Linked DNA regions of Drosophila melanogaster. Changing the gene in region 2 together with the main gene of any one other region gives a genetic interaction. Each region holds a gene or a part of one and is shown on either strand. Other genes may lie near its edges.

The links.
Region 1: of if (region 2) and crol, changing one enhances a phenotype caused by changing the other (phenotypic enhancement), as found in Drosophila melanogaster (one study listed by BioGRID).

The regions. Positions count from the first base shown.
Region 1 is NT_033779.5:11,805,452-11,813,017, forward strand, and holds the start of crol (crooked legs), read right to left. Parts: upstream 3,988-7,566; 5' UTR 3,675-3,987; intron 3,522-3,674; exon of another isoform or gene 2,563-3,521; intron 707-2,562; 5' UTR 597-706; intron 1-596. Other genes in the region: CycY (cyclin Y), read right to left, coding at 5,666-6,048, 6,143-6,980.
Region 2 is NC_004354.4:16,779,129-16,786,740, forward strand, and holds the start of if (inflated), read right to left. Parts: upstream 4,307-7,612; 5' UTR 4,190-4,306; intron 3,418-4,189; exon of another isoform or gene 3,342-3,417; intron 1,947-3,341; exon of another isoform or gene 1,736-1,946; intron 1,069-1,735; 5' UTR 929-1,068; coding exon 723-928; intron 1-722. Other genes in the region: mRpL22 (mitochondrial ribosomal protein L22), read left to right, coding at 4,947-5,216, 5,290-5,503, 5,618-5,835; CG9609 (uncharacterized protein), read right to left, coding at 6,351-7,376, 7,437-7,612. UniProt on the Drosophila melanogaster protein: Alpha-PS2/beta-PS is a receptor for Tig, wb and Ten-m. Involved in the function and/or development of the olfactory system.

The DNA.
Region 1 (7,566 bases), on a different chromosome or scaffold from region 2:
TCTTTAAGATAACTTTTTAGAGTTGGTCCATTATCGCAATTCACTCTTGATTCAGCAAGGTGTATCCCTTTGAGTCATGGTTCAATGAAGAATATTTCAAGTTATTTACATTTAAAGCTCAAGTAATCTGCATCGTAACACGAATCCCCTAACCTTTACAAGAATTGAAGTATACATCAAGAATCTTATGATTATACTGAAATCATTGGGATGATCTACAAATAGACCGATGACATAGATTTAAAAATCTAATGTGCCAAAGTAATATGCTATAAAGCAATGTTATTAAAGTCATATGTATCTTGATGAGGTAATATCCAAAAACTGGTAAAGTAGGAAGTTGGAAAACAACCATTAAAGTTTATTTTGAAACTTTGAGATTTGCATTTAATCAGTTGCTATCCAGCGAATTAGGTTACTCGTTACGAAAGGGATTATAAATTTCGAAAGCGCTGTTTTAGACGAAAACACTATGCCATATGGTCCAGAAACAAGAATGATCCGTATCGAATGGGGTTGAATAACCCCTTTGGGTGGTGAGTGGCAAAGTCACCCTGTAATTTGATGTGAAAGCTGCAGCAATTGAAATCACTTACCTCATGTGATTCTCTTGGCCCGATTCCGCCGATTTTACTGGGGAGGCTCGCCAGGAGCGGACTTGAAAGTATATTTAGACGGATGCGGATGTTCCTTTGGGCAGGGCCACCTGCAAGCAGAAACGAGAGGGGAGACATGGCAACAATAATAACCAGTGAGCAACAGTTTGTTTGCGGTGTTTATGTTTACGCGAAATATTCAAACGGCCCGCGGTACAGTCTTCCCCTTTTCCCTTTGCTTTCAGTTTTGGTTCCACTTCCACACACACACACAAACACATGCATACTTGCATACGTGTGTGGGAAGAACGGACAGGGGGGCAAAAGCAAATCAAGCGAAAATTTATTTGCAGTCAATATATGTATATGTACATCCATATGTATGCAAAAGTCACCAACACAACGAAACTAAGGCTGCGTCTGCGTGGAAAGAAGAGCAAAAATATTCTAACTCTAATTGGAAAGGGAATGGGAATTGGAATTGCCTTCGGGGGGGCATTGCAAATTTTACATTTCCAACTATTCCAATTCGAAACGAGCAGTGCTGTGCGGTGCGGTTTCGGTGCTAACAAATCAAATTAATTGTATCTATATCTAGAAGAGCTGTATGTGCGTGCATCTCCTCGACCAGTCAGTCTTCTCTGCTTTTCTTCTAGATTCTAGACGGGGGGCCTCTCCTCGTTCTCTCCCTCTCACCATTCTGGTTTGCTTTTGGCTGCCAGCAGGGAAAAAAAGTTGTGTCTTTCTTGCCATGCCGCCTCCTCTTTGTTCCCTTCTTACCCACTGCTTTTCGTGCACTTTTGTACACGGTTTTGCTTTTTTTATTTTGTTATTCTCGTCTCGCCTCTCTCTCGCTCCTGCCTCTCTCCCTCTCTTTGCCTTACATTGTCTCTCATTATTCATTGAACGACAACGGCAACGTCACCCCCTATCCCCTGGCCCAGCAGCAACAACGTTTTGCACGAACGACGCTACGTACAATTCCCAGCCGCCTAAAGCGGAAAACCAATAAAAACGAATTGAATCGCAAAGCGTAAGTACAAAATAAAGCGAGGAGGCGAGACAGAAAAAAATGAAAGCTGAGAGAGTAGCTAACGAGCGAGCGTGAAAGAGAGACAGAGAGAGAGAGAGAGAGAGAGAGACAAGCGAGTACAGGCGGCGCGTCGATACAAGTTTTGCCTTTTGGCTCACATTCTATATGCCGAGATCCGAAACTCGAGTTATAGTTATAATTATTGCCGCTGCTGCCGCTTTTTATTTTTAAGTTTGTTTGGCTGTCGCTCAAATTTCGACCGAGAGAGCGGCGAATCGAATGGGAAAAAGAGTGAGAGAGAGGAGAAGGAGGATCAAGTTGGAGAAACGTCCGTCACATTTTCATTACAGCCAATTAGTGTGCATTTCATAATTGTTAAACAAAACACAGGCACACATCTGAGCACAATTGGAAAAGCTAAAGGAATTGGAATCGGGAGCTGGGTTCTAACATATGGCGGCGAAAAAAGTGCCAATACGGAAAGCGCCACCGATCGCTTAAAGTGCTATAGTTAATAAATTTTAGAAAAATGCAACCCTGCGTCTGCCCTCTCTCGCTCTAAAACTTGCAAGAATGACACGATGATGACGTTAATGGAAACTCTGTAGCTGTGGATGTGCGCGCAGCTCATACACAAGCACACACAGATACTCTCGCACTCGCACACAAAAACACTCACACACCAATACACTGACAGCGAAGTCGACCGCAAAGTCATTTGATTAATAATTCTCGCATTCTTTTTGGCCTGCGAATTTCACAAATAAACTCAATTGTTTCCAATCAGCCCCGGTACTTGTCCCTCTCCCCATCCCATCATATCCGACCCACCCCCTCTAGCAGCTTCTCCCCTCGTACAAAACACTGCATTTTTTACAAGCTTTAAAAAGGTTGTTCGGTTCGTTCTTATGACGCCAGTATATGAAAATTTACTTGATATTGCAACGGTGGTGGTGGCGGGCACACTCTCCGGCGAATGTGTGTGTGTGTGTGCAACAGTAGTGGCAATCAGAATCGAAACGCCGCGCGGGTGAGAGGCGGTGGTGAACGGCGAACAGAGCAAAGCAAACTGAAAACTGAATGAGACGCGGAGGCAGCAGAAGGCGAGCAGGCAAAGGCGACCGATGTAAAAGTTCTTCGTGCGGCGCGTTCGGGCGGCAGCCGAAAGCACAAAAGTCCAGTGGGAGAGCCAGTGCAGGCGGTTTGGCTTTGACGAGGGATCAATTGATTCGACTCTTATATTTAAAAGTTATTTATTGAACTTCCTAAGTGTGGCATAATAACAAGGCTATCTGATTATCTTATTGAAAATTTGACAGTCAAATATCAAATATAAGTTTTTTTTAATAATATGGCAAAGGCATAACAAATATCAGGTAATGAGTTGATTAGCTTAGAGCTGTAAAAAGCCCAATAATCCCAATCCAATGCTAAAAAAAGTTAACATTTACATAAGCCAGTGAGAAAAATAACTTTAATAACAAGGCGGTTTATCTGATCGGAATACATGAAAATTTAAAACACTTATTAAAATAATTCAATTTAATCTTTATAACCTTATATTCAAATGGAAAAAGTCAAAAAAGCATTTATAAATTACTGATTAAAGTATCCCTTTCAACAAATTTTTATATTAGATGAAAACTTAAACTACTTTTAGCATTCAGAGTAGATAACTAGCCAAGCAGCACCTGCACTTACTCCAATTACAAAAACTGGCTAGAGAGAATCCAAGTGGCCAGCACTGGCAAGAGGTGTGGAGGCAGCGAGAGAGCGAGAGCGACTACGAGAGACACCGCAAGATACAGATACAATGCGTGCTCGAGCCCGCATGTGTGTGTGTGCGTGCGATTGCGTTGTTCTTATTAACGATTTGCTGCCGCTGTCTCCGCCGCTCCCTCCACCAACCCCCTCCCGTTGTTGTGCTGCTTTTTCGGGGCTTGGGCACAAAAAGGCGGCAAAACGGTTAAGCACACAAATTCGGCCGGGTCCAATTGGCCAATTTGAATACGAATGCAAGAGTCGCCAATTCGAATTGCACTCACCAGCGATATAGTTACGTTTTATCCATAGACCAGCGAGCTACCACTCCTTTTTCTGCCTGCAGCAGCGTCCCTTTTCAACAGACGCCGTTCCCGGATTGCTCAATGGCGATCTTGGTTTCGTGGCCCGATCTTGCACATCACTCTCCACTGGTCACTAACTGCATTGCGCGCACTGTACACTTGCGGTTGGCCATTTAATTAGAGCGGTGCCTTTATTTTCTTAACATTTAACGCGGATCCAGAGTTTTAGTTGCGGGCGGAAGAGCGAGAGAAGCAGTGTATAGAGCTGGAAGAAGTATCGATATGACATCGATAGTTCTCCAGAGCTGGCAGTGTGACCGGGCTGCTTTATTTTCAATGTAATTTTGAAATATACCAAATACACAAAAATACCAAATTAGGGATGGCACTGCGTCGATAGCTTTGAAAATTAAGTTTTTCGTAAAGTATTTTATAAATAATAAAAATAATTAGCAGCGTAAATTTAATAAGTTATAAAGTGTAATTGGAATTATAAGATTTTCTGAAAGTATAAACTTAAATAGTAGGATCTTGACTATTTCTAAAGAGTTTTTTTTTTGCATTTGCAAGTGGAGTATTTATAATGTTGAAAATCAATGTGTTTAGGTGATTATCAATACTTTTCCACATAATCTTGTTCGAGATTTTTGAATCCATATTTTGTGGGAGGGAAAGAAAATAAGTGGATTATACAATACATTTTATACGATTTTCGAAAGAAATCCTATGATCGATCTTCTTATTTAGAATAAGATATGTTTCTAAAATGTTTTTATACATAGAATAGCCAGAAGTCCTTTCTATATAAAAAAAAAAAAATGTTTCAAAAACTTTCTGTTTCATATGGCCATGTTTTTGACTTCGAATAAGCGCGCTTTCGTTTTCAAAACCCACGTTTTCGAAAAAAAAGTGACAAAAACTAAGTTATAGAAAGTCTATTTCTTTGATTTGCTTTTATTTAGCTTTATCGTAAAATAAATTACAAAATAAAATACATTTTGCATATAATTCGTATCCTTATATGTCTAGTACATTAATTTACTCACAAATCTTTTGGGTTAATATTGCGCTGTGCTCCTTGCAACTCTCGCTCGGATTTTGTTTGTTTTTCTAATGCTAAGAACCAAAAAAAAACAAATCAACTTGCCGCAGGCCGCGCCCCCAGAAAATCGATTTGTGCCTGAAGCCTGACGCGGGGAAGCCGAATATCGTTCATCGTATATAAAGCTAAATGGAAACTATATAAGAATCACACGAAATCATATTGAGTTATTAAGAAAACATGGATGTAAGGTAAACAAATTAAATTCGTAACAAATGTACAGGGAAATGTTTTTCTTTTCTTTTTTTGGGCGCGGACGCGCTAAGTAAATGACAATTTGGTGGCCGTGGCCAACCGTTGAGATTAAATTGCTTAGATGCCAGCTGGATTAGGTGGCCAAGTCAATTACAATATTATTTAAGCCGTTTTGTACAAACAATTCTCTACTGTTCGGTTTAGGTTTCTGTATCTCTTTCTGCTTCTGTGATCTTTCGTTTGGCAATTGGTTACGCGTTGCTGTAGTAGTACTTCTGTGTCTCTGTTTAAAATCATCATCCAAATCCATGACTGCATCGGTAGTTTCGCTTACATACATCGATCGCATGTACGTATATGTAAAAAGTGGTCCTTAATTCGAGACGTGTGGTTAAAACGCTTTTCTTCGTGTATGTATATATTGTATATAAGACTGTGATTCTTTCTGCACGTATTTGGGTGTTCCTTTTAGAGTCTGTGTGCTGGCTAAAAAGCCACCCGCAAAAGCTTATGCAACCGGGTGGCCTACGAAATGTATCTGAATCTGTGTGCAAAATCTGATTCAGCGCAGAGCTACGGTTCTCAAATGACGTTCGATCGGACTACGGACTACAGAGTACGGATCTCATTGCTGCTGTTGGTTGGTTGTTCGGTTTTAGTAAGCTAATATAAATCACGATAGTATGGCCACGCTGCGTCGCGGCCCGCCCTGACTGATGTTGTCCATGGAGGACCACTTCTTGATCCCATTCTTCAGTGCCTCGGCAGTGACCTTGTCCTGCATCACACGCGACATGGCCTCCAGCTTCTGGGCCCGCTCCTTGGACAGCGGCTCCGTGGGGAAGTTGAGCTCGTTGGCCTCGGCGAGCGTGCGCAGGTCGAAGTAGTATTTGGCGTACACCGAGGACGGTACATTGATGTTGAACTGCAGCAGCTCGAGGAACTGGCGCTCCAGCTCGTTCATGTCCTCCACGGTGATGTCTTTGAGTATTTGGCAGTAATCTACATTCCAAACGGCCTGGTCATCCCACACCTTTGAGGCGAGGAGAATGGCACCTGCAGAACATCAATAGTAGAAATTAGTAAGCTATACCAAATTAGTGATCTACTGCTTGTTCTGAATATCTGATGCTTGCAGCACTCCACTCACCCAACACCATGCGCTTCCAGTTGCAGGGTCCCACATCCAGCTCGGCGTAGGTGAGTAGCCGCTCCAGGTAGACTAGCGTGATGATCGCACACTCGGCCGTCAGCTGGGCGGCGTTAAAGAGCGTGCGCACGAACTTGTAGATCTGCCGGTGTTCCGGATTGTGCGTGTCATAGTTATCCGGCACCTGGTCGTGGGTCAGCGGATGAAGCTTCTCGTCGAAGATGTCCAGCCGGCGATCCGATTGCCGATTCTTGATGTGATAGTAAATGGCCAGTGAGACGCATTTGACCGTATTCTTAAGATTCGGCTGCGACACAGTGCTGTCGTCCAGATAGATCGTCGAGCAGGAGGAGCTCTTCTTCATGCCGCCACCACCGCCGCAACTATTGCCACCGGGAGTACTGCCGCCGCCACCGCCGCCGCCTCCTCCGCCGCCGCTGCCCGCCTGCTGGGCAATCTGCTGTTGCGAACGCTTGCGCGTCATGCCGCCGTTCTCCACCTTTGATCGTTCCAGGAACATGGTGGCTGCAGTGGGATCGACCGACGGATCCTCCTCGCCCTCCAGCGCCTCTCGCTCGGAGATGTGCTGCAGATTCTGCTGGTTCTCATAGTTGTCACCGCCGCCACCCTGCTGATTCTGTTGCTGATTGTGGCCGTGATGATGGTGATGCAGGTGCACCGCCGACGCGGATCCATGGTGGCCGTCCAACTGGTGCTGTGACGTGTGCGGCGGATGACCCAGCTGGATAATCCGCTCCTCGAAGACGGGCGGCATGTCCTTAGACTTGCGGTCCGACTGCGGACTGGAGTACGCGCAGCACGAGTTCTTGTTGCCCATTTTGCCGTTTCGGATTGGTTCGGTTGGTCGGGCGCTCAAACTAAATGCAAACTTGGCTTGGCACTCACTCGCTCGCTTGCTCACTCTCTCTTGACTAGCGGATGGACCCCGTGGTTACGGATCCTGCTCCTGGCAGTCGCTCACGCTCGGTTCTCGCTTTTGGCACTTGGTCGTCGTGCGTCTATGTCTATGGGCATGGCGCTGGCGTTTCTATCGCTCCACAATTACCGCTGCCCGTCGTCGAGCGTTTGCTGCAAAGAGTATATGTATGTATATAGATAACGCTTAGCCTCGGCTTTCATTCGATCTTATCTGCAAATCTGTTCTCATTCTCATCCCATAACCCATTATTAATTGCACTGCCCTTTTTTGGGGAGGGTGCTATTCGATTTTAGAGAAGTTTTGACTACTTTTTCACTACTTGTGGTGGCATTTAAACTATTGTTAATAACACTTTCTAGTGCTACAAATTTGAATGACCTGATAAGACTGACTATTTGATTGATTTGAAAGTTTGGGGGCACTTCTATCATATAAATTGTAGGGAAAGTCAGCTGTAGATATGATAAAAACTTTGTTGTTTTTA
Region 2 (7,612 bases):
GTGAAATCCCGGAAACTTGCGTGAATTGAATGAATTCTTTTATCGCCAGCAAGAAAACGAAGTACTTCCGATGCACTGATTTTTCCCTTTTCTTTCATATCGGCGGAATTCTTCTTTTTGGGCACACTTAACTTTATCAAAACAAGAGCTCTACTTAATTGAGGAAAAAAGATGACCCTAATAAATAATATATATTGTATACTATATATCACATGTTATATTCATATCATAGTTGGTCTTATCTGGTATTTTTACATGATATTATATGATGGATGAACACCAGCATCTTTTAGATCGTAGTACAAATAAGTGAAATGGAAAGAGTAACCGATAGCGGCGTGAATTCAGAAATTCAGCAATTCAGATAAAACGACTATACAGACTGCATTAACTGGAAAGCGTGCTTTAATCCCATATGATTTACTTATCTTTAATGAGTTTCATTTTAAAGCACATTTCTTCCAACGAAGATAATTTATTGAAAAGAAATGTCAAGAGGGTCGCTCGAAGATAAAGCAAAATAAATGACCCTATTCGGAAGTTGTAATGAATATAAGTAATCCAAGTAGGCTGAAAATTCTGAAAATTTTCCAATTATTTACAATTTTATTTCAATTCAGCTTGTTGCCTTGGAATCGAAATGAAACGCTAACTTCTCAACTTAGTTATATGAAAATATATTTATCTAGATCTATGCTTGGCTAACAATTAGTTAAACTTACTTATTCTGATTGCCGTAGAATCCACTGCGACCCTTGTGCATCGCAATGCTGAATCCGAACATCGAGTTGCTGGACTGCCGGAAACGGACGTAGCTGGGCAGGTCGATGTTGTAACCATGGGCGGACATGGCGATCAGGAGCAGAATCAGGCTCGTTATGGGGCAGTGAAGAGCCATTCTTCTTCGGTGGATGGAATCTCCACTCATTTTGTCGACTTTCTAACTTCTTTATTCGCTGAGCTGATTACTTTACTTTTTGCTGTATTTCTACTTTCTCTCGAATTTGTATATCGATTTCGTTGGGCTTGCATCCAAGAACTTAGCACTTTACGCTTGCATCTTCACAGCTGGCGATCGGAATCGAGAATTATTATAACATATGGTCAAAAGAGACGCACACACACGCGCGGCTTTATTTATTATATAAACTCAACCTTGGCCAACATGAGTTGAGATTCCAAAAACGAAAACCGAAAACCAAAAAAAAAAAAAAAGAGCATAAAACACGAAAGCCAAAAACAAAAACTATATTCTTCAACTCGGCAAATGCTGAGTGTCTCTGTTTTTTAGTATCTCCACATATCTCTATCTCAACGTCTGCGATCTTCCTCTCTCATTCGCACCCACTCGCCCGCTCTCTCTCTCTCTCTCGCTTAACATCATAATCAAGATCTGTTGGCCTTGGGAATCGCGGAGTGGGCGGGGTGGTTAGGGCTGGTCGGATATCTAATGTCTGAAGTCGGATGTCGGGCCAATTACGAGTATCTTTATTACACGGTTCAGTTTCTTTTCAAATTATTCGTTACTATTAAACTGTCAATGCCAAAAAATCAATAAAATGCATGTCATCCGATAATTTGAACTTATTTTTATCGATTATTATTATATTATTAGGTTTTAATTATATTTCTTTGCATGTAAGGTTGTTTATATTATATTTTTATATTTAGTAGCTTTTGTTTTCATTAAAACGGTTTCTTGTTAATTTTTTAACAAATCACTTTAGGTTCTCACTTCTTTTTATTATTTATTTTATTTTATTTTTTTTTTGTTTAAATGATTTCAATCATCTCCTTTTCACTGCAGCAAAATGCTAGGGTATCAGTCGGGTCGTTCATATATTGTTGTCTAATTCTAAAATCTGATTTGTTGTTTTTAGACATTTTTGACGGTTTCATGTTTGCTTTTGGATTTTTTTCTTTTTGCTGCATGCTTAGATTTTGGCGCGTTCTACGCTCAGCATCGCGATGATGGTGATGGTGACGTAATGGGCCGTCAAACAGGTTGGCCAAAATAACAAAATAACGGCCAAAAAGCCATTAGACTTTTAGCCAGATTGAAAGCCAGCCAGCCAGCCCTTCCCACACAACTTTAGTTTAAATTGAAGATAACTTTCAAGGAAAAGTTGAAAATGCAATTGGTATCGAACGATTCAAAATATTATTTCAGTTGCAAGTACTTGAAGAAATCAAGACCTTAAGTAAGTATTTGAGCTGGATATTTTTTGCAGTGTACGTAGGTTTCTGTGGCGGAAAAGAATCCCACAAGTTGTAGGCGGTTTTGTGCAGGTGACATTTGACACATTTTCCACTTTTTATGCCCAGTTTTTCCGCCGAGTGTGGGCGATTCGAGTTCATTGATGGGCGGCTGCCATTCATAGACAAGAAAATGAATTATAATTAAGCGAGAGAGAGGAAAAAAAAACAACCTAAAAATTCGCTGTAGAACGCGCCATATGGTGTACACCATTTAACATTCAACAAATTGATCATGCGGCTGGCATTCAAAATGACTGGCGAATGTGTCAATATAAATAAGACAGTTAATTTCGTGGCCCACAAATTGCAGGCTAAAAATTGAAATGCGTTGCCAGGCGAACACAATTGTTAACTGAAAGTTGCTAAATTTGCATAAATAACTTCCTAAGCGTGCAATTTGCATTTAAATGCAAAAGCTGGCGAAAGTTTCTAAAAATATTTCTTCGTTTCCCATTTATTTGATCATCATTTGAACTTGTAACTACTAATTAACGAAATAACCTTCAGTTTTGAAGTAAAAGGTTTGAGACCCTTTTTGAACACTTCTCTTCTTTTTTTTGCACATCAATTGAATATATTTGGCAACAGTCACTACTGGAATTGCCATACAATCTTGCCCAGATGGTTAAGATATGAATACGAAAAAAAAACACATCAAAATAGTGGAAAAAACGATCATTGTCTAAAAATAAATCTAAAAAGTTGGAAGCTGTGTGCTACGCCCAGCAGAGTCCGCCTATATCTAGGTATATATGCACATGTATATATAGACGTGCATATACAGATCGAATTCTACACTGCACAAAATGTCGGAGGTGCAAACACAGCTGCGACATTAGTTTATTGATTTTGGCTTTTGTGTTTGTGTTTTTTTGTCAGATTTTGTTTAATATGCGTATATTTTGGGAATTTATTTGGTCGGTGCACTTTTCACTGGTGCTGCAACACTGGAAAAAAATGTTTCAAGCAATTTGTTGGCGCGTCGCGTGTTGTGCTGTTAATAAGTAAAGTTCACTTTCAATTGGTATTGTTTGTATTATTTATATTTTGATTTGCTATTTGACATTTGGTGTTTGCTCTACCTCGGCAGCGAACGCAGCAAGATTTAAACGACGACTAATGGCGCACAGTATCTGTAAGATACATCTTAGCACCGCCAGAGATACATGGGTGAACTGCTCGTGCCAGATCGCCTACTCAATACCCAACCAATGTAGTCTCTAGTTTTTAGACTCGGGAGAGCGATCTCGGAACAAACGCAAAGCTCTCAAACAACCAAAACGATAGCAAAAGTTTTATTTTTTCATTATCTACACATGTATGTAGCGAGCATCCCACTCGAAAAAAATTTCAAAGGTGAGTTTCGTGTGGGAAGTCTGTAATTTCCGTTAGCAAAAGTTTCGACCATTTGATGTGTCATTTTGTTGGGCCATATGTACATATGGAAGAACGTTTATTTCGAAAATGGAATCACATATAAATTTATGATTTTTATGTTCATATACACAAGCTTATATCCATTCGGAAATTAAAAAAATGTATATATTTTTTAAAATTCGAAAAAGGTAAATACACTTTTTTCAAAGTTTTAACTAAATGAGCTTTGAAATCTATAAGTTTTAATTGCACGATATGCAACATTTTCGCATGTGCGTTGGTGCAAATTAATTCTGCCTCGAAAATGAGAACGCTGCAGTGAAAATGGGTTTTCCCATTTATCCAGATGGTTTAGATTCGCAATCACGAGATCTCGGAATGTAGTGCAATTCGACTATACGAGCAAATTCGCCGGCTAACCGAGGCAGAGCAAACTGGCAATGCAAATTAATGAAAACAAACAATGAGCCCTCGAAACTCCGGTAAACATTTTCGATGGCTGGATATATGTATCAGATAACACGCAAATATAAATGTTTCGCCGTTCAATTACCATCGATTGCATTTGCATACGCGAATTTGAATCAAAACTGGCGCCCGTTGAATTTCCGTTTCGAACGCGAGCGCTCCGCACTTTACACCAGGCAACTTTCGCTTCACGCCACCGAATGCAGCACTCAGATGGCTAGCAATTCCTCAGATACAATTTCAAATTTCACGCAGGGATGCCAGATCGTTGGGCGATTCAAAAGTGAGCGCGACGCGCTGTTGAGAACGATCAACTTAAGTGTATAATATTGAACTAGAATAGTTACATAGTGCATAAGGAATATTTATGTCTTTCAATTTTAATATACTTTAAAGATGGTCAATTCCAAATGGGTACTTTAATTGTTAGGTTTCATATTTTTATGAAAATGTGTATTAATTGCTAATTTGTGTGGAGATAAATGTTTCCGTTTCAATGCATTATTTTAATGGCTTCTAAATGTGAATTGCTGATATGCTCTTATTTAAGTTAATAATTTTATGTCGTACCAACTTGCTTTTACAAGTTTTTTTTTAAATCTAATAAATAAATATATTTTCAAGCAATATCGATAGCGCTGCCAGATGTTTACATATCCTAATCAAACGCTGCCATACCGCTCGCAGATCAGCCGCTTGTGCGGTACGTTTTAGGTCCACGGCATACCTGCTGCCATTGGTCACACTGGCAGATTACGCGATTATTTTTTTTACGGAAAGTCTGCGTTTTCCCTTCCGGATTGAATTGCCTGGATTTGCTGTGATAACTCAAGCAAGCTAAGATGCACAAGGTGATCCGGCAAATGTCCCAGCTGCGCCTGCAGGCGCCACAGGGAGCAGCGCTCCTCCGATCGGCGGATAGCAGCTCAATATCACCAGCCATATCACCAGTTTCACCACCTGCCCTCCAGTCGAAATCCCTGCACACGGCCGCTTCCGCCGGAATGCTGTGCGCCAAGTGGAACAAGTACAACTACGGACCCCGCAAATGGCTGGAGTACAACAAGACCGTGCATCCGCCGCAGGAAACGGACGAGGAGCCCAGAAATGCTGTAAGATACATATTTCGAACGCACTGCTGTTACCCCTCCAGCTGCAATCCTCTAATCCACTTGCATTGCACAGTATGTCTGCCACATGCGCAGCAACATCAAATACAGTCCGGACAAGATGTGGTACATCGCTGCCTTTGTTCGCGGAATGTCCGTCGACGAGGCGCTGAAGCAGCTGAACTTTGTGCTCAAAAAGGGGGCCACCGATGTGAAGGAGACCATACTGGAGGCCCAGCAAATAGCCGTGGAGCGGCATAACGTGGAGTACAAGAGCAATCTGTGGATAGGTGAGCCGCAGGGGCACAAGGAATCTATGTATCCACTATGAATGATGGATTATCATTAGTTTCTTCATCACTAACCATTATATTGATGAATCTTTGTCTGTTCTTACCTACCAGCCGAATCCTTCGTGGGCAAGGGACGCGTCTTCAAGGGCGTGAGGCGGCATGCTCGCGGTCGCTTCGGCAAAGTGGAGTACAAGCACTGCCACTACTTCGTGCGCCTGGAGGAGGGCGAGCCGCCGCAGCACTACTACCAGGAGCCGCAGACGCCGGAGCAGCAGTACGAGAGCTGGATGGAGCAGATGCGAAGCCGGAAGATCATCAACTCGCTGTAGCCACCTGAATTGGCACTCGTATGCAATCGATCCGCACTCCTGCAGTCCTCCATCGCCATCGCGTCCACGCGCATTAAGCATTTTTTTTGGTTTTAGAAGATTGTTTAATAAAATAGAAACAGACAAAAGAACTATGTCAGAGGTTCATATTGTTCTTATTTTTACTTAGAGGAGTTTATTTTATTTAGTTTTGCGCGTATATACACAATGGATATTATTGGTTTTCTCTCTGGATGCCCGAGAGTTTCGGAACTCTAGTTGAAGTCAGGGAATGTTTGCAACTGTAAGCTTAAAGTAAATAAACTAATTCGCTCCAGGCGAATACTACTAATAATAGCTTACTAATTTATGCAAATTAATGCAATTTCGGATGTTTCTGAACGCAAATCCTAAGTATTTACTGATAAATTAGTTGTTTCTCTTTTAGAAGTTGTGGTTTAAATTAAAGTAGTCATTCAATTGTTAGCCTCTTGACCAGACCTTCTCACTCCCGTCCCTTTGAATGGCCTTTTGCTCTACTCCTGCTCCTTTTCCTCTTCATCCTGCAGGGTCTGTGCCAGCAGCTCCTCGACGGGGTCATCCTTCAGCGACTGGGTGATCTTTTCGAGGACCAAAGGCTGTCGCTCGCGCACCGCCTCATCATCTTCCTTGTCCAATTGCAGGCAGGCCAGTTTGGATAGCCTCGAATGTTTGCTGCGTCCAGCATCGCGTCGTCGCTTGCGGGATGTGGACTTAGTTTTGCCCCCTTCTCCAGTCTTACTCTTGTCCTTCTTCTTGGCTTTCAATTCCTTTTTCGTCGCACCATCTTTGTGATCCCTGAGCAGATGTCTCGCCAGATTCTGCGCACTGCTGAAACAGCGGCCGCAGTCCAAGGCCTGGCACTCGAAACGCCTGCCCGAGTGGGCGGTGAGCATGTGCTGGCGTAGATTCCTGAGGTACGAGTAACTCTTGCCGCATCCCTCCTCGTTGCAGGTGAAGGAGGTGGCGCACTCATCCGTCTGCGCCGCCTCCTTGTGCTTCACCTCGAGGTGACGCTTCAGTTCGCTCGGCTTGTCGAAGGCACTATCGCAGCGGTCGCACTTATGGCGATTCTTGCCGTGCAACGAGTCGCGACAATGCTTCGTATACAACGTCCATTTGTCGAACTGCAGCGGGCAGCCGGGACACTCGTACAGCTTGCAGCTGGGCTCGTGACTCTGGCACTGCCACTGCTGGTAGAAGCCGCGCGAGCACTTCGAGCAGCTGTACGGATACTCCAGCGTGTGCTCCCTGATCTCGTGGCGCTTCAGCTTGAGCTTTTGCGAGAATTTGGCACTGCACTGGCTGCACGGATAGACCTTTGGGCTCTCGTGGGTTTCGCGCATGTGGCGGGTCATGTTGCTAACCGAGATGAACATCTTGCTGCACTCCTCCAGCGCGCACTTCACCGTCTTCTTGGCCGCCGACTCCGGACGCTCGTGGGTGCTGCGCAGATGCCTCTTTAAGTGCGTCACAATCGAGTACGTCTTGTCGCAACCCTCGTACGAGCAGGCGTGCTTCTTCTGCAAAGTGGTGGCGGCGTTACTACTGGCTTACACTTAACATACTCTAACTATACTCACAATCCCTGTGTGATGATACTCATGGCGATCCAATTGGTCCAGCCGCTTGAATGTGGCCTCGCATTTGGGCATGCTGCACGCGTACTTGGCCGAGCCGATGCTGTTGCGGCGTCCCTGGCGCTGCTTGAACTCCTCCAGAGCGGTCTCCATATCGCTGTCGCTGGCAATTTGCGTTC